4 linked regions of the Caenorhabditis elegans genome follow. The protein of the gene in region 1 purifies or fractionates together with the protein of each later gene. This does not show direct contact. Each region holds a gene or a part of one and is shown on either strand. Other genes may lie near its edges.

What was found.
Region 2: the proteins of F49H6.17 (region 1) and srw-16 fractionate together in Caenorhabditis elegans (co-fractionation; one large-scale study listed by BioGRID). This does not show direct contact.
Region 3: the proteins of F49H6.17 (region 1) and cal-8 fractionate together in Caenorhabditis elegans (co-fractionation; one large-scale study listed by BioGRID). This does not show direct contact.
Region 4: the proteins of F49H6.17 (region 1) and nhr-37 fractionate together in Caenorhabditis elegans (co-fractionation; one large-scale study listed by BioGRID). This does not show direct contact.

Annotation. Positions count from the first base shown.
Region 1 is NC_003283.11:17,016,333-17,022,917, reverse strand, and holds F49H6.17 (Acyl-CoA thioesterase), read right to left. Parts: upstream 2,929-6,585; coding exon 2,692-2,928; downstream 1-2,691. Other genes in the region: F49H6.8 (MS Related Protein), read left to right, coding at 255-548; F49H6.12 (MS Related Protein), read left to right, coding at 1,457-1,586, 1,815-2,011; srh-97 (Serpentine Receptor, class H), read right to left, coding at 3,118-3,185, 3,230-3,865, 5,477-5,831.
Region 2 is NC_003283.11:15,270,631-15,278,856, forward strand, and holds srw-16 (G-protein coupled receptors family 1 profile domain-containing protein), read right to left. Parts: upstream 4,228-8,226; coding exon 3,638-4,227; intron 3,425-3,637; coding exon 3,068-3,424; intron 3,022-3,067; coding exon 2,871-3,021; intron 2,825-2,870; coding exon 2,753-2,824; downstream 1-2,752. Other genes in the region: T10H4.4 (Phytanoyl-CoA hydroxylase-interacting protein-like C-terminal domain-containing protein), read right to left, coding at 1-217, 459-647, 699-839, 971-1,159, 1,210-1,356, 1,403-1,591, 1,637-1,733; srw-17 (G-protein coupled receptors family 1 profile domain-containing protein), read right to left, coding at 4,902-4,967, 5,019-5,169, 5,280-5,633, 5,681-6,270.
Region 3 is NC_003280.10:5,477,124-5,485,104, forward strand, and holds cal-8 (EF-hand domain-containing protein), read right to left. Parts: upstream 4,919-7,981; 5' UTR 4,914-4,918; coding exon 4,824-4,913; intron 4,776-4,823; coding exon 4,700-4,775; intron 3,855-4,699; coding exon 3,760-3,854; intron 3,712-3,759; coding exon 3,564-3,711; intron 3,516-3,563; coding exon 3,487-3,515; 3' UTR 3,361-3,486; downstream 1-3,360. Other genes in the region: ilcr-2 (Interleukin cytokine receptor-related protein 2), read left to right, coding at 1-64, 117-292, 341-452, 505-686, 733-888, 933-1,088; Putative zinc finger protein F56D1.1, read left to right, coding at 1,497-1,693, 1,740-1,807, 1,856-1,986, 2,031-2,131, 2,178-2,336, 2,413-2,987, 3,041-3,174.
Region 4 is NC_003283.11:6,618,911-6,627,984, reverse strand, and holds nhr-37 (Nuclear Hormone Receptor family), read right to left. Parts: upstream 5,792-9,074; 5' UTR 5,718-5,791; coding exon 5,548-5,717; intron 5,499-5,547; coding exon 5,440-5,498; intron 4,846-5,439; coding exon 4,784-4,845; intron 4,732-4,783; coding exon 4,537-4,731; exon of another isoform or gene 4,530-4,536; intron 4,484-4,529; coding exon 4,178-4,483; intron 4,131-4,177; coding exon 4,036-4,130; intron 3,790-4,035; coding exon 3,674-3,789; intron 3,627-3,673; coding exon 3,475-3,626; intron 3,427-3,474; coding exon 3,328-3,426; 3' UTR 3,209-3,327; downstream 1-3,208. Other genes in the region: ppt-1 (Palmitoyl-protein thioesterase 1), read left to right, coding at 1,680-1,779, 1,829-2,066, 2,126-2,296, 2,346-2,436, 2,700-2,798, 3,011-3,208.

The sequences.
Region 1 (6,585 bases):
TAAGTTAAAAGCAACTTTTCAACATGTTGTCTAACTTATTCAATAGGTGAAAAATTAGGAAATCGCAACTTCCAAAATTCCAAATATATTCTATCAGCAAAAAAGCTCATCAAAGTTCATTGAAAAATTGAATTTTTACAAAAATTATCGTGAGTATGAACTTTGAAAAGTTCAAAGGTCGTTGAGAAAGATGATCAAATACCCTTAAATAGCAAACTTTTTGGTTCTCACCAACAAAGTGCAGACTTGTAATAATGAATCCTCAGCGAGGAATTCTTTTTGCCTGTCTTCTCGTCGTTGTGACCAATCGTGGAGCTACTGCTCAACATGCAAGACCGCCAGTAGGAGTAACAGGAGATGTCACGGGAGCTCGCATAGACCCTCCGTCAGACAAATGTGAAAACCCTTCCGTCAACATCGCAACTACGGAGGCCCCAAAAATCGTCACAACAGCGGAGCCAGCAGCCAACTCAACCAAGCCAGCCCAGCCCAACTCAGCCACCGGTCCAGTTGTTCTCCTCACCATTGTGGCAGTTACTATGAACTAGGGCTCCCAGCTAAGTGAGGCGCGGAATGCGGGCCTCACGCCGGCCTCACGCCGGCCGGCCTCGCGCCGACGCCGCACGCCGCTGTGTGTGTGAAATGCAGTGCGAGAGGTAGTTATTTGAAGCGGCCGACACGTTCGGGGTTCCGCAGCTTAGTGTGAAATGAGTAGCTTGGTGTGTGTGCAACGTAGTGTCTCACTATACATGCGGCGTGGGTGACGCCGTGAGGCCGGCGCGGCGACCGCTGAGGCCGGCGAAGGCGCCTTTGCGGCGACCTCATGGGAGCCCTACTATGAACAGTTATTTTTAACATTGGCAGTTTGAATGTTTTGTGAATCCAATAAATACATTATTTAATCATCAGCGTTACTGTATCATCGTGTTGAAAGTGTTTTGTTCTTCTATAGTCCTCCAGAAGTGAGCAGTATTGAAACACATTCTGAGGATGTCCTAACAAGCAAATATGTTTACTTGTCTTATTGACCAAATGTCTTGAATATTTAGTTTTGTATGCAAAACCTCCTACTGATTTTTCAGAACTTTGTTCGTGAAGTTTGGCCTGAAAATGCAAACCATGGTCAAACACCGAGTTTTAGTTATTTCTGACAGGTGTGGACAAATTTCATGCTGACAGGTGTGGACAATTTCAGCTGCTTTAAGGCTAACTACAAGCTCTAGGAGTCTTGTTGATCTGCATCTTGGCCACGCTGCGTCAAAGGTGTCAAGTATCATAACTTTTGTATCACTTTTCATTAATAACATCGGTTCCTGAAAAGATCTGACAATTAAAAGCTTACTATTTAACGTAAATATGAACTTTGAAAAGTTCAAAGGTAGTTGAGAAAGGTAATGAAACTTACCTTAAATACGGACCTTTTTGAATATTTTCATCATTGTGCAAAAGTGCAACAATGAATTCTCAGCGAGGAGTTCTCTTTGCCTGTCTTCTTGTCGTTGTGGCCAATCGTGAAGCTACTGCTCAACCGGCAGGAAGTGTGGTTGCATTCCGAACAGGAGGATCTGCCGTTGGTGCAAGCCAATGTAAGCACCATTCAAGAGAATACTCTGCCGTCTCTATAATATTTGTTTTCCCAAAGACAATAAGAGAAACGCATACATGCAGACGCACAGAACTTGAATGGCGGCGGTTTTGAAGTTTTTGCGCCGCGCTGAAAATTATGATATGAGCTTTAAGTACTACTCACCCACTCTTGCTTGAGAATAGTTTTTAAAGGTCAGACAAAGACGATCTGTGAGAAAAATGTGAAGCTACTGGTCAAAATGGAGGACCGGATGTAAGAATTCTTAGTGGTGACAGAGGAGGTTCCGTAGGTGAACGTTTGAAAACTACGGAATCCCCAAAAATCGCCACAACAGCGGAGCCAGCAGCACCCAAGTCAGCCGCCGGTCCAATTGTTCTTCTCACCATTTTGGCAGTCATTGTTGCTAATTTGACTGGTTTTTGAATCGAATAAATGCATTATTTAATCACTAGCGTTTTTGTATCACCGTGTGGAATTTATCCTTGTCTTAAAATTATATCCCCCAAGAAAGTGGTATTTGAATAGATTAAGCAGAAATCGTCTAACAGAATCGGCTGAAATTCATGATTTCAGAACTTTGGCTAAAATTATCAAACATTGGTAAACACTGACTAGTATATGGCAACTTAACTACAATTTGTATTAATTTTTCACTAGTAAGAACCACAGGAAATTACTACTTACCTGACCTCATAAAATTGGCATGAAAAATCCAAATATTCCAAATGCTACGGTATTTCGTTTCGATTTTTGCCAATAAGAATGTAAAAGAACTAGGTAGTACCAGATGAATATTATGTAGAAAACTTCTGAATCAATACTCATGAGAATGTATAATTTGGGCTTTTGTCGTATGTAGGCTGACAGGCCATTAAATGGGCTGGGAGAGTTTCACACATTCTCACAAAGTCAAATACTTTTTTACTTTTCAAATTTCTCGTAAACTTGACCTTTGCAAAGTACAAAGATTGTTGAGAAAGTTCATCTTATTCTTATATATAGAGAACTTTTTGAATTTTCATCATTGCACAAAAGTGCAATAATGAATCCTCAGCGAGGAGTTCTTTTTGTCTGCTTCCTCGTCATCTTGGCCAATCGTGAAGCTACTGCGCAAACTCCAAAACCGTCGGCGAGAGGATAGAGCGTACATCTGCCATTGGAGTTTCAGCACCACCAGCAGAAATAATAAAGCCCAGGGATGTCAATGGTGTCATTCCATCAGAGTCAGCTGAAGTGATAAAAAGAGCCATTCCACCACAGTATCTTCCGCAGAACGATGTCTTGAACGCAACAATGGCATCACCCAATTCAGCCACCGGCCCAATTGCTCTCTTTGTCATTGTGGCTGTTATGTTAACATTGGTGATTTGAATGGTTTTAAATTGAATAAATACATTATTTAATCACTAGCGTCACCACTAGTTTAACTACTAGCGTAGTAATTGTCAAAACGCATTATGTTTCCGGTTGCTCTCTGGTTTTCTACAAGATCAATTTTTATTAACAAAAAAACAATCAGCGTGAAGTTTTCATGATAGGTCTCTACTCCGAAACAATCTTGACGATGCCTCCGCAAGTCTAACTGTACTCCTAGATTCTGAAATTTTCGGATGTTCCAATTTGAACTTGTGTGTTACTCACCCTTGCAAATAATCTTCCAAATCATCTTTTTAGCAGTTTTCCGGTAGTGATGGTGCACTGTAATAACTGCAACACTTTGTGCAACCCCGTGAAATGCAGCGCAGACTATTGATAAGTTCATCATTTCTTGAGAGTAATATCCGAACGAATAAGCAATTGCTAAAATGATCAGTGGCCCTGATATAAACATCAATGGAATACATGTTTGTAATAGGATACCAATCAAAAATGCCTTTTGGTTCTTCTGAGTTTCTTTTGAAACTGATTTCGACGGAGCTATATAAAGATAGTAAACCGCGCAAAAAGCATGGAATATTATATTTCCAGCTGTTTGTAAAATCATTGATGGAAGGAAAATAAAGCTTATAAATTGGATAACGTTTTGATCAGTAAGTAGTATGGTAACTGGAAATTCGAAAAACTCCGTTGTGGGACATGGGTAACGAGTTAATGCATGAAGTTTGGCAGCTTCTTGATCAGCAGGATTTGTCAAAAAGAAAAGAAGACAGCTGCAGTTGTAGAAAAAAACTATTGCATGGTAGAGGAGTCGAGTGGACTTTCGAGTTATTTTAAACCGATTTTGTGGTAGGGAACTGCTACGGATTTCGAAAAGATACACATAAGAGCATACGGCACCTGAAGGACACATATTTACGTTTTTTGTTCAATGATTGTTTGAAAATTTTATTGTTTACTACAAAACTATGAAATACATGGGTAAAACGAAGATGGCACAAAAGCGATGAAATAGAGGGTCATCTGGCAAATGAAACAATTTCATCAGTTTTTTACACTCGAAATATAGAAACTGCGAGGCGTGCACGCACAAATCCTAAACCTCAAGCCCGACTTTTTTTTTTCGGAAAATCAGCGGGTAAATGCCGAAATCGGGACCGAAACCAATATCAGGCGCCGACATCTCACGACTTCCGCGCCCACCCCTAAATTATCCGAAAAGGTCGGTGCCTCAATTTGAGGATTTGTGCGCACATACGCCATGCAGTCTCTTTATTTTGATTATATCTCTGTTTGGAATCAAAGGAGTTTCTTTAGACTGAAATTATTTTAAGCCTGGAAGATGATTGAAACTTAAAAAGTCATGCGCATTGAACCGGTGATGGTCCAATCAGCGGTTCATGTCTAATAGGCATACACGGCGTGTAAATTGGTACCTCTGGCCTAGAGAAAAACTTGAAAAACAAACGTACGCAATTATGAAAACGCGCGTGGTGTTTGCGGACTTGACTACTGTAGTCCACATAAATTTTAGCAATTAATACTTCCCGGTTTCGTTTTATATGAAAATATCCTTGAATTCAAGCAAAAAACGCATTATCTTTTTGAGAAAGAATAAAAGAAACACTAAAATTACATTAAATTCAAATACAAAAAAAGTGACCTACGCAGAAAACGAAACAAGGCAGTTTGAAGCTGCATTAATGAACAGCAATTTTGAGTGTAAACTTGTGATGGTGGGTATACATTTTATGTACTTAAATTGTTTAAAACCCTTCATTTAGTCAATTGGTGAAATTTCAAAAACTTTGTGAATCTAGTTTTTGAAAAAATTTCAAATTGGTGCCAATTTCACTGATTTTTTGTGAATTTCCGAGCTAAAATTGAAAAATTCAATGTGAACTTGTGACGGTGGGTAAGGTTTTTATGCACATAATTTGTTTGAAATAGTCTACCAAGTGAACTGGTGAAATTTCAAAAACTTTGTGGACCTAGTTTTTGAAAAAAGTTCAAAAATGTGCCATTTTTGTCGAATTTTAGTGGTTTTCGGAGCTAAATAGAAAAATTCAATAGGAACTTGTGACGGTGGGTATGAATTTTTCGCACATAATTTGATTATAGTAGTTTACTGAGTAATCTGGTGAAATTTCAGAAAATTTGTGGATCTAGTTTTTGAAAAAAGTTCAAAAATGTGCCAGTTTTGACGCATTTTCCTAATAATTGCCTAATAAATCAAATTTCTACCTTTATTTAGGAAAATAATCGTGTTTAATGTAATTTTTTCATTTTAAAAAGAATTTTTGTGCATATTTTTGTAGTTTTGATCCATTATAATGTCTCATTCATCGATGTTCAATGGCATTAAACATTTAAATTCGAATTTCGCGCACTTTGCAGCGGCCATGGCCTAGGATTCTCACTTTTGTCTTTTCGCTAGGCCAGATGTCCCAATTTACACGCCGTGGCATAGCCTCCAAGTTATCCCATGTTTAATCAAATGATAAAACTAACCGTTTCCTATTATAAGGCCAACAAACAGCTGTATGGTGAATGGTATTCCGAACCAACTTAGTGTTCCCAGTCCGAAAATGCCAGCAACTGGGAGGAAAACATAGGGTGTACCTCCACTGCACAGCCCAATATCTAACCCAGTACAAAGTGAGTGATTCAGTAACAACGGCCATGAAACACTTTTCATTACTGTCGGCGTTTTTTTAATGATTATGTAGAATGCGAGAATTTGAAGTGGGAAAGAAATTAGCTGCATGGCATGGGTTGGATAGGCAACTCCTTTCCATGAAGCCCAAAAACTATACTCGACGTTACACGTCAAATAGGTTGTCGCATAATAATCCTGCACAGACATTGAGTTAGATTTTTTCTCAAATATTTGATACGTTTGATATCTTGAAGCAGTAATTTGATAAGAATACAAGCCCTTGTTCCAAAACCGGCAGCTGAAAAGAATAATTGCAAACCAAATTTAATTAAAATGCAGAGTTGACCTGATTTCACTTCCCTCCTGTCTATGATTCACTTTCCCAGCAAACACGCGTTTTCTCTTGTTTCAGCTGTAAAGAATGACATCAATTATAAAATTGGGAAAACATTTCACGCCAATCAACTAAAATCGAAGAACTCAATCGTTTACTCAATTTTTAAATAGTAATTATCATGTTCACTTTAATGTTCCAATTAATCAACTTTTGCCGGTGATAATTGCTTTTCTTGTTTGTACTTTATTCGTAACTTTTTGATTATTCTTCCTATGTACTGTGTATTTATTTTTCTGTCTTTATACCATACTGCTTTTATTCCATCACGATCCCAATCGTAATAAATCAAATCAAATCAAATCAAATGATCCAATTCTCAATCCGTCAATTTTTTTGATTCTCTATAAATTTTGAGGCAATATTATTCACCGCGAGGATGATAAAGGATAAAGGAAAAAAACTCGCTTAAAAACGGGTATATAAATCTTTTCTTTATTGTACTTTAATATTATGTCTAGTCTTAGAATTGTTTCTTATTTTGTATTGATAGCTTCCCTAGATGCTTGCATCCGTACGATTCCACCGGAAGATGTAGGATTTTCTGTGGATCCGACTGAAATTCCC
Region 2 (8,226 bases), 1.7 Mb from region 1:
ATTTTTCCATTGATGAGATTGCCTGGTTGACCATTGTTATCTTTCACATATTTTTTCATGAGGTTGTTGTGTTCTATGCGAATTGTGTTCCAATACGCTTCAGGTTTACATCTATAAACTGTGGATATTATCTGCATCGAATGTTTGAATATTTCTTCGTATTTTAAAAAGGATAAGCACTTGTGAAGGAGCTCATAAGATTCCATTCGGTTGAATTCTGTAAAAATACAACAAAAAGTGCATTACAGACTTTGCGCATATTTTGCTTCATCGATCCGTGAAACATAAGATACATTTAAAAAATGCTCTGATAAAAGTGTTTAAAAAAACACAAACTAAAAATTGGCAAAATTATGAAAATGAACCAATTGCTGCGTATATACATACTACAGGAATATGTATACATGCTTCTTCGAGTTTTACTAAGAAAAGTCAGATCTCTGCCCTCTATAACTAACCTGCCCGAATCACGCTTTTCCAATTCTTAATCAATGTGTCACTGTTCGTTGAATTACATTGAATCTCCACGGAATAAAGCTGTCCCGGTATCACCGAAATACTGCAGTTCTGTGAATCAAAGTCCCGTTTTAGTTTTTTTGTATCTTGCGTCTTTACATTTGTTGAAATGACAACGAAATAAATGTTTTCTGCAAAAAAAAAACAAATTATACCTTTGTTGTGAAGTTTGTCAATCTTACTCTCTGAGGTTTGATAGTTCCAGTGCAATAATATTTCTCTCGAGGAAACTGAAAAATTCACCAGAAACTTATCAATTTCAGTGGCCTGCTTCTCATTAATATTGTTATTATGTTCCTTTTGTCCTGCATTGCCATCTTTTTCTGAAAATCTCGAAAAGTGAATAGAAATGTAATGTTCACTGGTAATTCAATGATTTCGAAGGAGCATTTTCAAAAAAATAGTACGGATCTTAAGGTTAATTTTGAACTGAACATTCTCAATTTTTACTAACCTGCTTGAATCAGCTTATTCCAGCTTGCAATTAATCTACCATCTTCCATCGATGTACAATGAATCTCAACGTGATAACGCTGCCCCGGATGTACGACAAGTCGAAAGGTTTTCTCATTGAACCGTCTTGAAAACGTTCTTTTTGTTTTGGTTTTTACATTTGTTGCAAATATGACAAAATGTGTATTGTCTGAAAAACTATTCTTATGTGTTTTTAAAATTGAATGTTATAAGGTTCACTTTGTGCCATGTTATTATTCCAATGAAACTTGATTTCCCGCAAGGAGATGGAAAAATTGACCGGAAGTGGTGCACATTTGATGGGCTGGTTGTTATTGATAATGTAGCTTGTTACCTCAGATAGTTTTCCAGAGTTGGAAATACTTTCTGAAATAGTAAAATTTAACTGACATATACAGATTTTCTCTTCTACCTGACTGAATCTCCTTTGACCATTTTAAAAGTAATTTTTGGGTTTTTAGCATCACACACAGAATTTCAACATTGTAAAGTTCCTGAGCAGATACTTGAAGCTGACAGCTAACAGCCGTTGACGGTTTTTTAATAGTGACTGGTTCCATATCCGTGATCTTTTTGTAAGTGACAATGAATTCGATGTCATCTGAAAATGTTGACCTTATGCACCTGTTGATTTCAAATTTCAAACTTCTTCTCGTTGGCTTTTTCCATTCCAGCACAATTCGCTTAGAATAAACTGAACAGGTAACTGGTAAAAGTGGAGCTTTAGCCGGTTTTATTTTCATTTTACGCTTAATTGAAGTACACGGGTCTGGAATAACGTGATTTTAAAAAATTTGGAATAAATTTCTAAAAATTGGTGTTATTAATTCCAATGACGAGCTGAATGTGTAAAACATTTAATTTTGGTATCTTCTTTTTTTTGAAAAAAATTAGTGCAAACACTGTAATCAACTAAAAGAAAATTCTCCACATTTCGGCAAAAAAATCGATTCGCTTCAAAAAAAAAATAGAAAAACGTTGGTCATTGCCTCACTCTTGTTCACTTTGTATAGTGTGGTATTAACATTGAACCTTTTAACCATGAGGAAATTTTGAAAAACATTCAAAAGTTCAATTGTTGATCAATTTTTTGTTGTTTGAAGGTAGCAATTTGCAAAAGGGACATATTTTCACCAAAAATTACGAAAACCTTCTTTGATGACGGAGGCTCCTATGCAGCCCCAAAATTTTGTTGCTCAGATATTTGAAAAAAAAAACAAGAATTATAAATCATGGAATTAATTTGAAAATTTAACTCTTCTGAGCTATAAAACGAAACATTTATTAATTTTTCAGCAAAGAAGGAGAGTGGGTGTGAAACAAGAATAAACAAATATCATGGCCAAATCTGTTGTTGCTTAGCAGCCAAGTTCCAAAGACCATCAACAATTTTATTGTGAGACAAAAAAACAGATGGAGTGTTATCCGAATTTTGCAAAAAAATTGATTCAAAAACCAAATACCTTATACCCGGGGCATAGGCAGAACTTCCTGAACTGGCTAAAAGGGTTTTGGGCGTTCAGATTTTCTATAGCAACATTTCATTGGAAATCCGCGTCAACAAATTTGTAAGTTGAACTTTCGAATTTCTCGCCATTTTTCTGAAATACTGAAGGCCAAGTTTTTTCAAGCCACAAAATCAAGAAATTCAGAGCTAGTTTATTTCATTCATCTAGATTCGAGGTAAGAAAAATGGTATAATAAAACTAATAGGTAAGTATCTTAAAGTTTATATTTCAAAATAGAACTCTAGCAAAAACGTTTAAATATTTTTCATCCTTGTCCTTTTTGAACTCTGCGAGCTAACAGACGCAGTCGAAATAACCAATATATTCTGAATAAAAATTGTTGAAAAATATGGTATTCTGTTTGAGACCCACTTGTCCTCTATCTTGCTTTTTCGTGATACATAACATTTTCTTCACAGTTTCTCTATACTGTGAGGACATTGCAAAACATACGAAAGCATGAGAAATTCCATTCATTGTACGAAGATTCCAGAAAACATATTGTGAAAGTCCAAGTAGTGATCTGGAAATAAATTAGGCTACCGATATAAATTTTCAACAAAACTAACACAATATCAGTCATCGACTCTTCGTAAATTAGTTTAGACAAGATGAAGTTTTCAAGAATATATGATCCAATGACAGGAAGACCCTCGGAAGTCATGAAAAATATAGTCATCATGAGAATCATCTTGTTTGTTTTATACGATTGGTCATTCAACGCGTTTTTATTCATATTCTGTCTTTTTTTCTTGATTGTTCTCAATTGCAAAAGTAGAGTGATAGTTAGAGTTGGGTATAAAATAACTGAAGCGAACCGAAAGATGAGATCTATTTTATTAAACTTATCCATATTTCTGTCTTTTGCTCTAGAAACTACCAATACGTAGTAGGTGTGATTGAGGTGTTCTTTGTAATTATAGCAACTGAAAAGAAAAATGCTACTTTTGATAAATTTATCAATTAAATAAATAAACAAAAAAATTTTACTACAATCTCATATACCTCCTAAAAAAGAAAAGGACAAGGACTAAACAAGGAGGTATGAGTTGCCCACTTCTTGGAAAGGACCGACCGTTGTTATATCATTAAATTATGGCTGGAACTATTTTCAAACAAAACAAATCAATCCAACTCACGACTTAATCAAAATATCCGGATACCATCGAAATTCCATCTCGAAGTACGGTGACGAATAATAAAGTATCCAAAATGTAAACATAATTAATACTATTAAAATTGCAGTCTTAGCTTTTGCAAGCTTCTGGATCCAATTGCTCATCGGAAAAAATACTGACAGTGTTCTTATTAACGCCATCATCATCGCTAGCCAAACCGCCGTGGGCCGTGCCATTTGCACGAATATGTTGAGAATATTAACGGAGGTGACTTGCACAAAGTCACCTCGTAAGCAATTAGTATTCTTATAAAAAGGAATTGATTCAAACCACATTCTTTCAAAGCCGACATTGTAAAAATCAAGTGAGTAACCAAGGATATCAGCCACAGAAATTCCAATCATCAATATATAAATTGCACCAGATCGCAGCTCTTTTTGAAGCAAAACAATTAAATGTAAAATGTTGATGAGTACAGTAAAGAACTGCAGGCAAATGTTAATATCAGAAAGTACCATGCTTATTTTCTTATATATATCAGCACAGTGAAAATTGTCATAAAGGTTTGTAAATTCACAATCTTCAGAATAAAATTCTTCATCATAGTACATTGTATTCAAATCGAAGCAAAAAAGGTAGTCAAAGTTAAAGGACTGACTTCAAGATATGGAAATTTGAAAAAAAATGTTATGCAAAAGTGTAACTCGGGATATGACCATTAAAAGCTCAATGCTTAATAACATGCTGTCTAGGATTAATTGTTGGCGTGAATTCCAAATTGCTTTCTTGTCCTTGAACTTTTATTTGGAGTTGAGTAATCACGTATTTATTGGCAACGTGAAAAAGTGGGTAACATTCAAAGCAATTTCAGTTTTCCCGATGCTATTAGGTAGTTTTTCCTGCGCCAAGAAGTTTCTAGTACTAATAATGTCAGTTGCTTTGAGGCATCCTAGCATTTTTTTGCGACGGTAAAGTGTCAATGGGCAAGGGTTTTAAAAAAATTCCACATGACGGCTACTTTTTTAAAAGCATAATCACAAATTACTCGTAATTCGAAATACCCATTCTTGTGAGATTCGAAATAGCTTTTTGAACCAGTCTAGGTTCCGATAACTCTAATGAATTTTTTACGATACAAAACAGACTACTGTAAATCGGTCGAACTGACAAAATAATTTCAAAAATGCCAAGTATACCGAGTATAAACGTGTTATTTCTGTAAGAAATTTGAAACAATTAAAAAACTAAGAAATACATAGTATTATATAGCAAAAATTAAAATCGTTCATGTCCTTGATCTACTGGAATTGTGTGAGCTGCTAACCGACACTGTTGAGATGACCAGTATATTCTGAAATAAAAGAAGTTTTTTTCTAAATCGAAATATTTATCTTTAATCTACCTGTCCTCGTCGCTGCTTTTTCGAGGAACAGAGCATTCTCTTCACTGTGTCCCTATACTGCGAGGACATTGCAAAACATATGAATGCATGAGATATTCCATTTAATGTGCGGAGATTTGTATAAAAATATTGAGCCACTCCAAGCGCTGATCTGAAAAAGTTTCAGCTACGACGCATGACGTCATTTTCAGCAAAAAATTTCCAGCAATCCCATGCGGACTGTTTTGCAGATAATTACACAAGAATATATATAAAACTTACATTACGTCGACCATTGAATCTTGATAGTTAGGGGTAGCTAGAATTTTTTGAAGGATATAATCTCCGATACCTTCCAAGCCCTCCGATATCATAAAGAATAAAGTCATAAAAAGAATGAGCTTTGTTGTATTATCTGATCGATCATTCAACAAGTTCTTATTCATACTTTCTCGTTTTTTCTTTATAATTCTCAGTTGAACTAGTAATGTGATTGTTAAGATTGGATATAAGATGGCTGGAATAAAGCGAATGAAAGGTTCCAGTTTTTCACGCTTAAAGACTAGGCTGAAGCTAGCTTTTGGAACTACCAGAACGTAGTGGGTCAAGTTGCGATGTTCTTCGTAATCAGTGCAACTGAAATGAATGAACTTTCAGATGTGCAAGTTCGAAAGCCAACTCACGCCTTACTCAAGACATCTGGGTACCAGCGTAATGTCATAGTAAAATATTGGGATGAATACCACAGTATCCAGAATGTGAACACTACTACACTCATGAAAATTGCAGTTTTTGCTTTCGCAAGCTTCTGAATCCAAATGCTCATGGGAAAAAATACAGACAAAGTTCTGATCAACGCCATCATCATTGCCAGCCAAACCGCAACTGGTCGTGCCATTTGCACAAATATACTGACAAAATCTACAAAACTAACTCGAACCAAATCATAACGTAAGCAATAAACGTTGGTGTAAAACGGAATTGTGCTAATCCACGTTCTTTCGTAGGCAACGTTGAAAAAATCAAGTAAATAACCGATAATATCTGCCAAACAAATTCCGATCATCAAAATATAAATTGCACCGGTTCGTAGCTCTTTTTGAAATAGAACTATCAAATGTAAAATGTTAATGAAAACTGTGAAGAATTGCATAAAAACATTTGTGTCCGACAGTATTATACCCAGGGCTCGATAGATATCCCCACAGGACAAACTTGTAAATAGGTTTTCACCTGCACAATCTTCAGAATAAAATTCTTCATCGTCGGACATTATATTTTCTCAGAGAACTGTGAAAATGAAAAGATACTATTAAAAATATCTGCATTTATAGGGAAATTCCAACGAATAACAACTTGTGATAAGAGCATTAAAAGCTCAACACTTAACAGCTTATTGTCTGGGAATAACGATAGGTGTGATTATGTGGGACGGCGGCTGATTGCCTTTTCTCGATAGGCTATTTTCCAGGGACAGGTGAGTAATCACGTAATTCATGTTATTCTGATTCCAACGGTGTTCAGTGGTATAGTTGAATAATTATATGTATGCTGAACGAAAGCCGGAAGCAATTATAATCAAAAGATGCAAGGCGGGATTTTCAGGAACAACGTTGTCGCCATTTCCGTAGGTGGAATAGAGCCAGTGGGAAATCGAAAAAAAATTGTCTCCCTTTTTTTATGCTTTAATTATTCTTAAAATATGCATATTTCAATTTTGTACGTGTTCGTTGATTTGCTGGTCTATGTGTTTTTATATCGTTTAGGCTCTCAGTTATAAGAGCCGAAACCTTGCAGAACCTTGTGTAGATATACATATTACTGATCCACTGCATTGCACGCTTATTATATTAAACATTTTTTAATAAAGGAGCGCTAGGAATACTGTAGGCTCATTCTGCTATAGTTTTCCACTAAATGTATTTATTCTTAAAAAATACAGTACAAAATAGTTACGTACATCAGCAACACATCTCTATAAATTTCAGACAGACTTTGTTAATTTCTTCTTTTTATCCTTCAAGCTGCCCGAAGTTGTTGAAACGAAAAATATTTTCTGAAAGAAATCATTCATTCTCAGACTGAAATTCGTTTTCCTTTGTCTCACTTCGTCTTTCTTCTGCTGCGTGATACATAAAATTTCCTTCACAGTATCCCTATACTGCGAGGACATAGCGAAACATATAAAAGCATGAGAACTTCCATTCAACGAGCGCAAGTTTAGACAGAAAACTTGTGCAATTCCCAAAGTTCCTCTGGAACAAAAATTAGAGTTGATGATTTGTGATGTTGCTCCAACTAAACTTTTAACAAGACTTACAATACAAAAATCATCTCATCGTCATCTTCAGGCTCAGATGCAATATACTTCAACTGGGCATAGTTAACAATGGATGGAAGACCCTCAGAAATTATTACAAACACAGTCATTTTTTTTTTTTTGAATTTTTTGAATTCTTATTCACTTTTTGTCGTTTAATCTGAATGCTTCTTAGTTGAATAAGGAGGCTAATTGTGAGAATAGGATATAAAATGGCTGGAGTTGAGCGTAAATATGGCTCCAGTTGATTACGGTGACTTGAAAATGAAAGCCTACTTGTATTAGTTACCAAAACGTAGTTGGTTTTGTTGACATGCTCTTCATAGGAAAAGCATCTAAAAAAGGCAAATTTTTCAAAAGGTTATTTTTAATTTTCGAACATATACGTTTGTCCGGCACTGTACATGTAAATGCACATGTTGATTTCACCTTTTATCCAAAATATCCGGGTACCATCGAATTGTCACCGAATAGTACTCAGATGAATAAAACAGTGTCCAACACAAAAACACAAAAAAGATTATGAATATAGTCGTTTTTGGTTTTGTTAGCTTCTGGATCCAAATGCTCATTGGAAAATAAACTGATAACGTTCTTATCGATTCCATCATCATCGCCAGCCAAATTGTAACATGACGTGCCATCTGCATGAGTATGTTGACAAGATCAGCAAAACTGACACTTAGAAAGTCAGCTTGCAAGCATACTGTGTCGAAAGAAAATGGGACTGATGTGATCCAAGATCTATGTATGGCGGCGGTGTAAAAATCAAGTAAATATCCGATAATATCGGCTACGCAAATTCCGATCATTAATATATAAATTGCACCTGATCGTAGCTCATTTTGAAATAGAACGATCAAATGTAAAATGTTAATGAAGACTGTGAAGATTTGCAAGCAAACATTT
Region 3 (7,981 bases), on another chromosome or scaffold:
AATCTCAGAAACTGTGCATCCTGTGATCCAGTTTTTGATTTGGAGAAGCTTATAACCGCAGAACGTAAGTTTTTAAAAAATATATAGTATTTTTCAACTTTTCATACTAATTTCAGAAATCGTTCCATCCCGCTGGCTAGTGGATCAAATCAGCTCTCTAAAGAAATTTATAATTGTGGTTTCTGATTGCGCTGAAAAGATTCTCGACACGGAAGCTTCTGAGACTCATCAGCTTGTTCAAGCTCGACCATTTGCTGATTTGTTCGGGCCAGCTATGGAAATGATCATTCGTGTAGGCAATTGACTCGGATTTTCTTAAAATCAAGAAAAAACATTTTAGGACGCAACACACAATTTTCCGGAAGCTCGTAAGAAATACGCCGTTGTCAGATTCAACTATTCTCCACATGTTCCACCAAACTTAGCGATTCTTAACCTTCCCACCTTCATTTGTTAGTTTATTTTAAAATTTAAAATGTAATCTTTCTAATTCTGAAATTACAGTACCTGAACAATTCGCGCAACTCACTGCATTCCTGCACAATGTAGAGCACACAGAAAGAGCCAACGTCACTCAAAACATATCAGAAGCTCAGATTCATGAGTGGAACCTTTGTGCTAGTCGTATGATGTCATTCTTCGTTCGAAATCCGAATTGGCTCGAAACGAGATGGAAACCGAAAGACGTGAGGGTTTTAATTTTATGATTAATTTATAAAACTTCATTTTCAGGAGCTCGCAGCGCTTCACCTCAAACGTCAGTCTCCCGTCATTGTTCCAATCCAAACTGAAGAGGATCGCATTGCTGCTTCTATAAAGTATAACCTGGTGCCCCCGCAAGCACTCGTGGACAGTGATGACGAAGATGATGTTGATCTCCAGCCACACGTATGTTCATTCAAAATGTTCTCAGCTAGAAATATAATTTTTAGGCTTCTCATCAGAACCAGCCACTCATTCTCCTACCACCTGAACAGTGCGGCCCTGACTCTGATTCTGACTCGGAATCTGACTCCAGTTCGGAATCCGAATCTGAATCCGACAATGAGGGTGAAGATCCGAAGACGATTGTTGTGAAGAAGTCATGAAGAGACTTGTTATTTTTATTTGCTTATTGCTTGTTACGGTGTGATACGTGGTTAATTATGGTATATTATTTCGATTTTTCTGTGCGATGCTTTTTCATGTTTATTTAGTCAGCGTGTCCCTCAATGAGATGTCTTATTGTTCTGAAGCTACGTTTTCCAGAACTCCAACATAGCGGAGGCACGCTGGCTTCTCATAGTTCAGAATTTATAATTTCCATGTCATTTTTCACTCATTATTTGATTTTTATATATTTGATAATTTGTTCTAGGATTTAAAAATTACGCTATCTATAAATGTTTAACATTTCCTTAATTGTTTTCTTTATTTTTCTCTAATTAAAACAGGTCTTATAACCTAGTCTATCTATGAAAAATTATTTTTACTGTTATCCAAAATCCAAAATTCAGATGATATCTTCGTTTGAACCACCATCTTCATCGTCATCGTCTTCTGATGAAGACTCTGATGATGAATACCGAGAAGAAGATGGCAACAGTGAGAGAAGCAATTCGAAAGTATGCATTGAAGAAGTTGAAGAAGTTGAAAAAGAAGAAATTGCGAGCAGAAAACGAAAAAGAGGAAAAACGAAAGACGAGTTCCATCCGTATGTGGAATATTTTTATATAAATGAAATGCGAACATTTTTACAGATGTCCGTTCTGTGAGAAAAAGTTTCGATATCCCAACAAGCTGAGAGAACATATAAAAATTCATGATTGTATGTTTCAGCATTCTTATTTAGTAATTTAGATAATTATTTTTTCAGCTAATCGTTACCAATGCCTTGAATGCTCGACAATTACCAAATTTGGCACATATGGTGAATTGAGAGCACATCACAAACTACATCATTCGAAGGCTTCTCATAAGTGTCCACAGTGCTCGTACACTAATGAGGTGTGAATTATCGAGTTGTTCATCTTCTGATATTGGAATTTCAGAAACCAGCATTCATTCGCCGTCACTTCGAACAAAACCATGTTGATGGTATTCCGTGTACAATTACTGGCTGTTGTATCAAAGTAGCAAAAAATCGGCTCAAGTGGGTTTCATCGATTAATAAAAAATACATTTTAATACAATTTCAGAGCTCACATCAAAGAATATCACACGTCTATTCCATTGTCTACCGAACAAACTCGATCTAAACTATCTTTCAACAAGTGCCCTCTATGTGAATACAAACCTGATGTTTCAGATGATGATCCTGAACAACAACAGAAAGATCTTGAGGATCATGTTCAAAGGTAGGTTGTAAAAATTCGATTATAAATTATTTTTTTTAAATGAAAACGGTTTTTTGAATAATTTTACCTATTTCAGAATTCATGAAGAACGTGAGCCAGCTCTATGCACTTTAGGATGTGGTGTTTATTTGGGATCCGGTAGTGTAAGCGAGCATCTATCGACATGTTCATCCTTGATTCAAAATATACCATCTTCTTCACAATCGACACCAGCACTTCAAAATGATGAATGGAATGATGCTAACACTGAAACCACACTATCAACAATCACAGGAACTTCTAGTCAATTTGAACGTGATTCTGTGTCTGAAGTTACTAATGATTTATCGGAAAATATAAACGATATCGATGAGGAAATTGAATTCGGGACAACTGAACCTCCGAATAAAATAAGAAAGCACAGTAGAAGTCGAGTACATGGAGACTTCAGCTGCGAAATATGCCTTAAAACATTTACATTAAGAGACAATCTTCGAAAGCATGTCAGAGTATATCATTCGGAAAATTCGCAGAAAGTAGTTAAATCCACGGGACCAAAACACCAAGAACAGTACAAATGCGATCGAAAGTCAAAAGATGGTGATGAGACTACTTGTGGAAAAACTTTTCGAACAGAACAGGCACTTCACGATCACTTTAATGTTCATGATGGTAAATACTTACAATCTAAAAGTTTAATATCTGAAAAAATAATTAATGTTTAGGTATCAAACCATATTCCTGTCATACATGCAATCAAAAGTTTCACGCACGAGATCGATTCGCCGTTCATCTATCAAAATATCATCAAACAAGTATCAAGGATCTTACGGCACGCGTGGCTACATTTGGATGTTGAATTTGGCCATTAATATAATAGAATAGAAAATAGAATATACAATTGTTTCAATCAAGTTTTACAACCATACATCACACCGGTAAAAAATTAACCAACGGTAGAGTTTAGTCTATTGAGTTTCATGATGATCTTTCAATTGTTCGAAGTATACTACTTGTTTTTGTTATTGTATTAAATAAAATGTTGTTGTTTTAATTTTTAATCAATAATTATAAATATGTACACAAAAATTAAACGATAGAAAAATGAGATGTAGATCAGCTGTGCGAAGGAATGGAAAAGCATTGATGAGATAGTTTTTGATTCTTTTGATTATTGGCCCTTAATGATATTGACGAACTCTGTAATATCAACAAAATATAGATAATATAGATTAAATCAATTCCAACCTTGAAAATCGATCATTCCGTCATGATCTAGATCTCCTTGTTTTATCATTTCTTTCGCTTCAGTTTCAGTTAACTTCTCTCCCAATTGGCACATAACAAAAATTAAATCATCGATGGAAATCACGCCGTCTCCATTTTTATCGAACACCTGAAACAAAACAGGTTTATTAGTTAGATGCAAAATCAATGTGCTCACATTAAAAACATCTCTCAATTCTCGTTCTTCTTTCGGATCACAGATTTGTCGTCGGAGTACATTCAAAAACTCATCTATATCAATACATCCATTTCCTGAAAGTATTCAACTTTTTCTTCCCAATACTCAAAACACACCATGAGTTTAAATTATCCATAGACACGTTAGGTTTCGTCCGTCAAAAAGTTCTAAAGCGTAAAAAAGTTGCATTCCGCTTCAATTCATCATCATCTCCACCTACATATTCTGCTTCCTGTTATCGTGCACTCAGTACTTTTCATTTTTTTTTCTGGTAAAAATACGGGAAAGTTGGAAATTTCCGGAAATCACACGCGTTAGTTCTATTTTTGAACACAAAATGTACCAGCTGTTTGAAATTTTTGAAGTTATAGTGGTGTGGAAGCTTATTCATGCGGAAATCTTGTTAGTACACTAGAAATAGAGAGAATACTGTATTTCGCTACAGTAGCCAAAGACTCTTTTTTGCATTAAAGCCCTTGATGTGAGCTCATATATTTTTTGAGAAATTATTAAAAATTCTTCAATAGAAATTGCGAAGTAAAGTATGTCGCGAGTACGGTAACTGAAAAAGCTAGGCTCACAACTTTAAGATATTTTGCAATTTCACATTTTTCCCCAACATGTGTTTCATTTTCAACTCTTGTTAATTGTGAAATTATAAAGAAAAATCGTCAAATATCAAGAGGGAATTACAACACAAGAGATCACGAGTACGGTAGCAGAAGCTTCGCTGGTGCCAGGACCTGATTTTGAAATCCAGTTTTTTGTTGCGAAAATGCTATATTTGATTTACAAAAAATCTCAATTGTTTCAAATTAGATTTTAAGAAAATACCACTTTTTGTTGGCAAGAACTAGAATGTATTCAAGAATATGGTCAGTATATACGGAAAATAGGATGAATAGAAGTTTGATCGTACCATCTAAATCAGCTTGCTCAATCATTGTCTCAATCTTCGAATTGCTCGCTTTTTCTCCCAATTGAAGAAGAGCAACCTGTAAAACTTATATTTGTCCGAAAATTCACAAATTATAACAACAAACCTCCAACTCTTGTCTTGTAATTCTTCCATCTCCATTTTTATCAAACTCTCGAAATACTTCACGAATTTCAGCTTCTTTCAGTGAGTCCATTTTAGCTGAAATAATGTTCAGTAGAAAACGAGGGGAACAAGTGAAAAATAAATGATAAAAAAAGGAGATGCACGAATGAATGACGGAATGAATTAATGAATAAATAAATGTATATGAGTGACAACTGAATGAAGACGACGACGATGAAAATGACATGAAATTTATGCGGAAATTGGAATTGGAGACCTGTGAGCCCCGCAAAGTTTCACTGAGCACCTGAACTTTGAGCACTTTTGAATTGAAATGATGATGAGACTCAAAAAAATGATGGAAGAATGCAAACAAAGAGGGAAAAGTCATGAGAAGGAAAGTGTTCTTGTTGAGTTTTGCGGGGGTTTATTGGGACACCAAAACACCATCTTTTTGGACTCCAAAGCCACGCCCAGTTTTCAAAATCTTTTAGACACGCCCCAATGATTTTTGTCATAAGACTTAGGAATCAAAAGTTGTGAAAGTTTGTGATTGTGAGAAAATGGATAAATAACTCGAAATTTCAAAGATTAAAATGTCTGATAGGGGAAATCTCAATAACAAAAAAAGGTTTTATAATAATAAAATGTTGAAGAAGGAGGACTTGGATTGTACACATATTTATACTTATAACTACAGTATACCATTTATTTCCGATATTCCAGAAACGCCCATTTTTTGCCATTTGCCCGGTAAACGCCCTCTATATTTGAAAAATGAAGATACTATGAAAAATGGCACAAAAATATATACATAGAAGGTCACTGACAATGTGATGAGGCGGGAAAGAGGCGTCCCTTGCACGCCGTATGGGGTTTCCAAAAACTTATATGATATTCCTACAATTTTATTAGTTCAATGTAATTATAGGAATTAGAAAACCCTTTTTTGAACTCTTACAATTGCAAAAATTACCAGTGGAAATTGCCGTATTTCCCTATCAGACTTGCTTCACTTTATCGGTTTATATCTCGGTTTTCTCAAGTTTTATCAGGAAAATTGTAACTGAAAATTTGTAGAAAAATATTTTGCACATACTTTGTAAGTTGACAATATTTTATAAAATCGAAGAGAACGGAGAGCTATCAAGTTAAAGCGATAGAGGTGCAAGTCTAAGAGACAGTACGGTATGTAAGAAAAATTTCAAATGCCAAAATATTTTTGAAAAATGGTTTACAAACGCCAAAATATTGAATATGTTCTGCAATTTATTTTTTGCCTACAAATCTCTATTCTCTTAGTCTTATCCACTTCATCTTAGTCGTTGCTCTTCGAAATTAGCTCGATTTCAGTGGAGCTCATGAGAATCTTATTGCTCCATGTTGCATATATCTTGCAAAAAAAACCAATTCGTATTGAGAAAAAGGCACATACAAAATAAGAAAATGCAAATATTGGTGAGAACAAAATGAGAAAATAAAAAGAAAAAATCTCGTGATTCTTTAATAATAAACATTGAAGGAATCTTTATGGAAACGATGAGAATGAAAATAAAAGCGGGAGAAAAGATAGAAAATGAAATAGTGTTCTGTTCCAATGAATGGGTAAATATGATCCGCATCTGGGTAAATATAGACTTGTAAATAAAAGAAAGATTCGGTTCAGCTTTACCCAGGACATAGATTTTAAATGAAAAAAACATAATAATTGTTCCAATTTTTTTTTACATCGGAAGTTTTGGTAAGTTGCCATTTTTCAAAAATTTTGAACTTACTTTGTGAGTTTCAAGTATGGCTGCAGGCCAGAGTTGCTACGAAATTTGTCAAATGTTCATTGTGAGCTGACTCTAGCACCTTTCTAGCACAGCGCAAATATCCGATCTTGTTCACTGTCTGCTAGTGTTGTATTTTTTAAAGGCACAGAAGAGCGTTCGAAAGTTTCCAATTAGTTAGAATATAATTTTATAATACAGGCGTCTGCTTCAGCTTTTCAATAAATTTTCCAAAAGAATCCACGTCATTTCATAGATACAAGCCTGAACCCATCTAAACTAAAACTTTAGCAGACATTATGGGTGAATGCATCCAAATAATGGGGTTTTTGCTGGGACAAAAAAGTTTTGGAAACGAGGAATGAGTATGGGAAATGAGTGGAACATGTACTTCATTTGATTGACATTCTGCCTTATTTTTCCTTCTAAAAGTCATTTTTTGGCTCAGAAAAGAGTGGAGTTACCGCTTGGATTAATCAAAAATTCAAGGGTTCCATTGACCACCAGACTTGTCTCGACTTGCACATTGGTGATCTACATCACTTTCAATCCAAAAAAGTATTTGTAAATGCAAAAGGGTGTTGAAAATAAATCAGATCTCTCAGAATCTGAAAACTGGTAAAAAAAGAAAACAAACTAGAGTCGGGTAAAACTGTGAAATCTTTAAACAATGGAACGAGAATGAAACGATAGTTCGGAATAAGAAATTAGTCTTTCCATTTTATAAAAGGTAGCCAAATATTTCTCATATTTGAAAACTTTAAATGAAGAAAGGGTCACAAAAATACATTAAAATCATCTGTGGTACTAATAAATCACATTGAGAAACAACACCAACTTGGAGCTCTAGACAGAATCCCCACAGACTAAATTATTTTCGATATATCTTTCTTTTCTCTTTCAGTGCAGTCAATTATCGTGTTTTGTTTATTTCTGGTAACGAGAATAGTTGACAGAGATGTCGCCAAATCAAATTTGATTTCTTCTTGGAACACTTTTTTGATCTTCTGGGATTTCCAGATTTTTGGCTTAAAGCGTAAGCTTAGACTTAGGCTTAGGCTCAGGTACATGCGTAGATAGAAGGAAGGAGCACAAGGCCTGAAAACGTGCCTGTCTTCTAAAAGTCAGATCTAATCGGGCCTCTTATTATTGCGACAAAAAATCATCTGCGAGTTTCTATCATTTTTCTTTTCGGATATACCAGTCATACAAGTGCTTATTTTTAGAAATTAAAATGTTGAAAAATGCATGTCAATTTGAATTTCTTAGAAAAATATTACAAAATGACAAATTTCAAAGTAGATGTACATTTTCTCATTTTGAAACCCCACTTCAAATGTCAGATTTGAATCATTTTGAGCATCCGGTCTTTTAACTTTTCTCAGAG
Region 4 (9,074 bases), about 10 Mb from region 1:
GTTATTGAAGTATAAAGTTCTTTGTTGAGTTACAAGAGATGAATGAAAAATATTTGATTTTTTTAAAACTTAATTTTGGGCTTTTAACTTTCAAATCAAAAACAGGAAGCAATTAACCATCGCACGTCAATCCAACCGCATTCTAATTGAAACCTTACCATCACCTAATGAAATCACAGGTTGTTTGGTTACTATTGAGCAAAATAACAAGTTTTGTGACTTGTGTACACCACATTTCTGCTCATTTTATACATCGAATTGTATTCTTAAGCACAATTGAAACAAAAGTAGAAGAAGATAGATTAATGGAAGAAAGTGTGTTGCTAGTGGATACCAATGTGCTCTCAAGCAGTCACTGATTATCACATGATTTTGTCTTGCTTCATATGTTTTTCTGCTACAACGTATTTGAGCGCGAGAACATAGAAAGAAAATGCTTGTGCGAATTCGAAATGACGATTTTGAGGGAGAGGAATATGAGCGAACAAGAAAGGAAACAAAATGAGCGAATAGCGATGGAAATTATTCCAACAACAGCAAATAATAAATAGAAAAATTAAAATTCAACTCTCCTCGCATCGTGGTAGGTGAAATGGTTGGAGAATAGAGAGGAATGAGGAAAAAATGATTCGATTACAAGTTGGTTGCATGCGTGTTTTCCGGGAACGTCTAATTGTGTATTTCAATAGAAAATGTGGAGGAAAAAGGAAAAAACGGAGAATACATGTAATGGCAAAATTTATTATTTTTCAAGAGGCAAATACAGATTGTTCTATGAAAGCATTGTTATTTGAAGCAATGAATTTACGGCAAAAAAAAGGTGTGAAACAGGTAATTTGCGATGTACATATGTATACTTCAAAAATCTCGCAACATTGTAGACGAAATTGTAGATGGGGCCATGGGACCGTGAGGGATAATGTGCACAACTCACAGTGCGCATATGGCTAACGGTCGATTAAAAATGCGTCATGCCAGGTTCTCGTCGCAGTTTATCCAACAATCTTTCCATGTGAAATTAGCAAAAATGTATTCAATGATCTCGACCAAATCAATTCGGGTGTTAACAAATTATTATTTAAAAGTTAAAAATATGTTTTCCAGCCCGAAATAAAGTGTAAGTTGTCAAATAGATTAATTGGTGTGGCTCGAGAATGGTTCATCATACACTTTTTAGTTCAAAATGTTTCTTTTTATCCAACAGAATCGACGACATTCAGTAGAGCCATGTGGGTACAGATCTAAAACAGAAAATTACAGACTGAAGTTAGAACATGAAAAAGGCTTTTGGGGTCGTAGTTTTCGTTGAACATCCAATTTACTTGTTGAATTGCCTGCGTATGTTTATTTGGATCATTGTTATGATTTGAAATCATAGACAACGGCCTAGTAACTCTTTGCGAGGTTATTCAAAACTCAATCAATTATTCGATTCAAGCCAGCCAAGCAAATTATAAAGCTAAAAATTGTCATGTATTCTGGTTTTATTTTCAGGATTTCAAACTTCATTATTAATTCAATCGAAAAACTCTATCAATTGTTTTGCCTTCTAGCATGATCAATCAATAAACCCGAATGAGCCAATTAATCTTATCTTATCAGTTGTTGAGCCAAACAGCCGACCTCTTTGTCCATTCTCATTTGACCCCACTCTAATCATTTCTTCGTTTTCTTGAAGAATGAGATATTTTCCCCTTCTACTTTGCCTACTGGCCATAACTACAGCAGAATTCCGGAATGCTACAAAGCAGGTTCCAGTGGTCATGTGGCATGGAATGGGTTAGTTGTAACTTAATTACTGAAAAAGTGCGAACATTATGATTTTTAGGTGACTGTTGTTGCAATCCGTTGTCTATGGGATCTGTGAAAAAACTATTCGAGGAGCAAATTCCTGGAGTTTACGTTCACAGTCTTCAATTGGGATCTAGTATTACAAAAGACATTGAGCATGGATTTTATGCAAATACCAATGAACTTGTCTATATGGCATGTATCAAAATTAAGAACGATCCTGAACTAAAGAATGGATATAATGCGATCGGATTCTCACAAGGAGCACAGTTTTTGTAAATCGCGTTTATTGAATTTAAATTTTAAAAAATTTTGTAGAACGGCAATTTTTCAGGAGAGCGGTTGCCCAAAGATGCCCAAATCCACCAATGAAGAATTTGGTGTCAGTCGGTGGTCAACATCAAGGAGTTTTTGGAGCCCCGTACTGCATTGGTGACAATATTATGTGCAATGGCGTGAGACGTCTCATTGACTTGGGAGCTTATCTTCCATTTGTACAAAAACGGTACGAGTATTTTTTGTCTTTCATTTCATTATTTTTAACAGTTTTCTAGAGTTGTTCAAGCCCAGTACTGGCACGACCCAAATCAAGTCGAAGAGTATAAAAAACGTTCTATTTTCTTGGCTGATATCAATAACGAAAACGTAAGGATTTTTAAAACATTTTTTTGAAGTATTAATTAATAATTTCTGTACATTTTGGTCCTTTTTTGTTTTGAAAAAACTGTTTTTGGTGATTGAAAATTATAACTTTTTCTGTAAAAAGATGCGCCGGGATTAGTTTAATGAACGGTGGTGCTTTATTTTCTTTTCTAAAAATTATTCCTGCCGGTTGACATTTGAATTTCAAAATCGTTAGAAAATCGTAATCATTAAAATAATTGAAAAAAAAAGTATTTTTGTTTCAGAATAACAACCCGACTTACAAACGCAACTTATTGAGTCTCAAAAACCTGGTTCTGGTGAAATTCAATCAAGATCATATGGTTGTACCAAAGGATTCATCTGTGAGTGGTTTTTTTTGTTTTGCAGTTTCCGAAAGTAGACTATAGTCGCCTATAGGCGAGGGTCGCCAAAAGCTTGTTAATGCAGGCCGGAGTTTTCCCGAGTATTCTCATTCTAATGGGTACAAAGAGCCACACAGGCAACAGACATTTTGTACCACCTGTCACGGTTCTCACGCTGAAATATTTTATAAAGTCTCAATAATTTATTCCAGTGGTTCGGGTTCTACAAAGACGGTGATATTGACACAATTCTCCCAATGAACGAAACCGACCTGTACAAAGAGGATCGTATTGGATTGAAGAAGCTTCATGAGAGTGGACGAATCCATTTTATGGACGTGGATGGAGATCACTTGCAAATTCCAAGAAGTGTGCTTGTCAACGATATTATCAAAAAATATTTTATGTGAACTTGTTTGATTTTCAAAAAGAAACAACTCGTATTGTAAAACTCGTACGTAAAAATGAATTATGAAATTATCATGACTGGTTGTGTGAGCATTTTCTTGATTTGGGTTCCCATCATTTTCTAAAACATCTCGAAAAAATACGGCTCCGAGATTTCGGCATGAAAGATGTCAAAAAGCCAGAAGAGCTCCTTGATCTTTGATTTCTCACGAGAGATTCTCTAAAAATAGGGGGAAAATCAGAAAACTTAAAAAAAAATTTGGCAAACCTTCATGGATTTGACCAGTTTCATAAGAATCAGAAGCCGATGAGAATACATTTTGATATCCGTCCGATTTGTATAATAAACGTGCATTTGGTCAGCAATTTCTGCTCGCATTTGTTCGCAAGCTTCTCGTGTTTCATGAGAAAGATCACCTTCTAAAATTAAAGTTAATAAAAATTTGATTGATGTTTTTTTTTTTTACCTTCAAGTCCAATAAGGTGAACCATACAAAAAACGACTTCTTCCGTAGTTGGCTTGAGATCAAGAAGTGGCCTTGCAACTTCATCTATGTAACGGTGTAGGAAGGGTTCGAATAGTCTGAAAATTACAAAAATACAAATATAAAAATGTTCAAAGATTTTTCATCATTATATCTTTCTCGACATAGCGGCAAAAATTGTTTTGTTGAATTTTCAGTATTTCAATTAATTTTATAGTAAAGAAAATGCTGTATCAAAATGTGATCCTAAAACCAACGCAACTTTGAGTAGGCTTTTCAGAACATTGACAAATTTCAATCAGCGAATTGTGGGCATTTCAAAGTTTTTGAAACAGAAAACTCACTTGTTGAAATATTGATTCGTGAGATCAGTTATCGAGGCAAAGTCAATATGAGTTGATTCCAATTTCATTGCGAGATCATCATTGATAAGTATATACTGAAAAACAGTTGATATTTTTAAAAATAATTAAAAACTATTCTCACTCCTCCTCGAATGACTCCTTCTTCAAAAATCTTGACAGACATTTCTAGGCGCTCAAATGTTCTAACGACATTCCAAGAAGATCGGAAGAGCTGCATTTTTTGATCCATGGGTAGAGACATTAAAGATTTTGAAGAGGAAAACCAACAAGAGTACATATAGATTCGATCATTGAGCCAATCAATAGCAGATTTCAGCTCGACTTTGTCAAGAAAAGAGATTTGACTTTGAGCTTTTTGATTTTTCCTAAACTTTTTCAATGCAGACGTCAAAGTAGTCAGTTCACAATCGTCGCCTTTTGTTTTATGCTGAACATAAAATAACAAAATTTTCACTTTCAATGTTTTTCGCTTCAACTTACCGAAAATGACGTTTCAATTTTCTTCACCAAGTCATTAAAACTGATAACCATGTTCGGCTTATCCGGTGTTTTTGGCGAGAAGGTGAACAAAAAGTTCGGATCAATTCCAGGTGACTCCACCGAGTTCTTCCGGCTCAAGTTGGTCGGGCTGTAATCAGATTGAGCTGGGCTTCCATTTGGCGTAGAGAATTCGTCCTGAAATGTAGTAAATAAAATAATTGTTTTTAATTTAAAAAACAAAACTCACACTTCCACTATCCTCCATCAAACCGCGAAACGAGTACGTTGGGTCATAGTCCAATTGAACTTCTGAAAAATGAGTATATTTTACTAGAAAAAGAAGAGAAAAAAAGAAGAGAAAAATAATTGGACTCTGTAAAATTTGCAGAAAAAAACGCTTTTGGTTAAATTCCAAAAGAATGGCAGCAAAATTTTTGACAGTAATTGAAATTTTATTTGTGTTTTGGAAAGGATTTAGTTATTTCACCACTAGCAAAAATGAGTGGTGATTTTTAGCAATTTTCAAAATTCAACATTATGTAAAAAAAGGAAATAGGGCACTTTTGTATTTAATGCCCTCATTTTGAAATTATTTAAGCTATAAAAAAAACCTTTGGAATATTTTTGTAATTTTCGGACTTCGGAAAAAATCCTTTCTAAGCCTAAAGAGTAAAAATCAAACATAGAGATGATCTAGAAATTTTGTTAGGATTTTTTATTTTTCAGAAAAAATTATTTTTCTGCGTATTCCACAAAACCTATTCACATGAAGTTTTTGAAAATTTGTCAAACCAATTTTCGCAACAATTTTTCACAAAAACTTTTGATGTAAAATTTTTTGATGTGCACGATATGCACTTGAAAATCTTGCAAGTTTTTATTTTTTTGGAAAAAAAAACATACTCTCTTCATTCATCCCGATTGCTTTGCACTTTGTCAGACGACACTGCCGGCAGACATATCTATAAACAAAACGTGAATTTTCTGATTTTGAAGACTATAGTAACTCACCTTCCACGACCATCAATATTGCATTTTGAATTCCCCTGCTTACATTTATACTGTAATTTCAGTACAGTAGCCCTTCGAAAGAATGCGGCGCACGCTCGGCAGGTGAGTGCACCGAAATGCATTCCATTTGAAGCTTTTTTGCAAACCAAGCATGACTTGTCAGGTACCATTTTTAGATTCTGAGAAGGAAAAAAAGTGTGATCATCATTTTGTAATATGCAAATTGGGTGTTGTCATTCTAAGAGATCTCTACCAGATATGTTATTAGAGAAATGAAAAACGTAGAGAGGAGAGGAAAAGATCAAGTGACCACCGAAAAGGGTTTATATTTGAGAAAAAAAAAGAGGGAAACTTGAAGGAAAAATGAACGTACCTACATGTCAAATTTTGAGACTGAAAACCCAGCCTCAAATCACAAAGTTATCACAGCAATTTTTTGGTACTTTTCTTCACATGTAAGGCAAGATCAGAAGAGAGACATTTTCGGCTGGGGGAAGACGTCATGTCGGCATGTTCTCTGATCGTTACGCTGGTCGAAGACGTAGGAATCTCAGACAAACAATTAAAATCTCACCCCCTTCCGAAAAGAGATAGTCTAGTTGTAGTGGAAGGAAAAGCATAATGACAATTATCAGGATGAAGTGGTGAATTTGGCTAACCGTATTTTCAGAAAACTTTAGCTGGAGTTGTATGAAACGTTTTAAAAATGTGCCTAGGGATACTATAGATACTGAAAGTTCTTAAAATAGAAAACTCAGAAATTTCATATTCGATCTGATGATAAAAGATTTTGAATTTACTTTCCACTTGAAAAGACCACCTCAAAAATTTGTTTCAAAATGTTTTTATGTTCGATGAACCAAAAAGGAAAAAAGTCAGAAAAAAAAGATTTTCGGAATGTGAGAATTTTGGGTTTTCTTGAATTTTATAGGAAAACAATCCCCTTCTGATTACTGCTACATACATTGTACAATTTTTTTAAAAGTGCACACATTGGTACATGATTTGTGATAGAAAATTTTAAGTCAAAATTGTAACTTCGATGGAATTGCGGAAAATCAGAAACAAAAACATTTTAGAATTGCTAGATTGATAGTGACCGATTTAGAATTTTGGATAAAATACGTTGAGCTACTTTATATAGAGGCAACCGATCTTGTCCATCTAATTCGAAACATGTATGTCTTTTGTCGTTTCTATGTTCACATCTGTCTGCGTCTCTTCATAAATTGTCAATCTCTAGCTGTCAATTGCTACTCGGTCTACGAGCATCGATTCACACGCGACCTGTGTTCGCCGAATTGGACTTCCGCAAAACTTTCAAAAGACTAATGTCATCTGATTAGTCTGCGTCTCCGATAGACTGTCATCTGCAGGTAGCCGTCCACCATCCTTGCATCTTCATTGCCAGCCTCGAACCTTTGCCAAACGCTGCAAACTTTTGACAGATCCCGCCTCCCGACCCGCAAGATGATTCGTTAATGCGTTTGGGCCCGATGTCTTATCGTCGCCCTCTACAACACTTGACTCATGAAATAGGACATGGAGACCAGAAAAAGAGAAAAATATTGTGTCTGTTGACGGGGAAAGTTGTTCATTTTTAGGGCATATAACTGTATATATGTTTCAAAAGTTCCTGATCTAGACTGATTCAATTGGGAACAATCATTTTTCTATTCATTTAGATCAGTTGATAGACATCAGATATGTTTTCTCCGATTTTCTTACCCGATGAGTAATAAATTTGCCAAATATGTAGTTCGCATATTTTCCGAGATATCATGATATTTTGTCAATTTGCAAAAGTAGCATCAAAGTAACAACTAGTACAACAATGTTATTCATATAAATTCAATTCACCGCTTTATTAAGTATGCATGTCAAGGAAAACTATTCCCTCAAGTTAAAAAAAAATAAATACAAATAAGTTTAGTCCTATAGTACATAAACTGAAGACTAATTTCAAGTTAACAAGTCTACCATATTTTCCCTACTGGATTTGTACCCCAATTGCTTTACTTTGACGGCTCATATCTCGGTTGTACTAAAATTAATCACAAATATACTGTTAGTGAAATACAGAAGATTATTTAGCACGTATTTTGTCAGTTTACAGTTTTCTGACAAAAGCAAACGAAACCAAGATATTAACTGCCAAAGTGCAGCAAGGATGTGCAAGTATAATAGGGAACATATGGCATGTACAAATGATACTGAATGATACTGAACCTTTGCTCTATTTCCATTACTTCAATATATTGCAATTTAATTTCACGGTTTTGACGATTCCATTATATTCTTGCACCCCATCCACTTTACCATATTTAAATTTAATTAACTACAAAACTTTTGAAGAAAAATCATACATGTTTTGTCAGTGGCAAATCATTTTGCAAAACAAAAGATTGTCAGGGTTGAGCAATAAGATGCATTACTAAACGTGGAAATAGTATTTTTACAAGATTCAACTCCAATAATTCCCAAGCATCCTTTCTTGCATAGCCTCAAAATCTCTGCTGCAACCCAAATAGATGTTGTCTAATTTACGGTAGATTACTCACTGCGTTTGTGCCTTATGTTTCCTGCAATTTGGCTAACAGGCCAACCAAATCACCCTAACATCACTCACAAATAAAATTCTCAAGTTCACTCTAACTTTTGATGCCCATAAACATTATTCCATTCTAGTAGCATGTTTAGAGTTTTACTTTCAACTTTCCGGTTTGATATATATCTCCATTATGTTTGATGAAAATTATCAACAATGAAAAATATACTTCTTGGTGTATAATAGTGTTTTTTTCGGAAATAAAACCTATAGATGAAACTACTAACTACAACAGTGTGTCACATTTTTAATCTGTTTTGACTCCACCAATTATTTCAATAATACATTGATTTTTTATGAAGCCGAAAGAAAATGTTTTTGCAACTGTTATATAAACCATTCCTTACATTCTTTGAAAGGCGGTCTTCAATTAAGCTACCACTTAGCTGATTGGCTTGAACTACGGTACGTTGCTAATTAACGAAAATGAAAATAATTTCGTTCAAACTAGACTCGATCGTCTTATGTGATTTTATTGCGCTTAACGATCAACGATTGATATCTTACGTCCCCAGTACTTGAATGGAATTTTGAGGGCACTTGTCGGATTTGTGTCAGATTTTAGGAATTAAAGGTTTGCAGCAGAAATGTATAAAGAAGAAGTTGTAACAGAAGCTTGAAAATTTTTTATCGTAAGTAGGTTTGAAACTTGCAGAATATGTATCTGAACCAAGCTTCTCTTAATTTTCTATACGAATTTTTTTGAAAACTTTTTATACGATTGCACTAGTTCTCTCATGCAGATAAATGTTGTCTGCTTCCGAGACAAACTAGGTCAGTTTTGTGCCTATTCACAAGTAGACGTAACGGAAAACTAAACAAGCGGCGATTTCCAAAATTGCCGATTGCCAAAAGTTACACCAAAATAACTAAGTCGATAAGTTCTGCATAATTAAAAGCAGGCTTAAGAGTTTGGTTA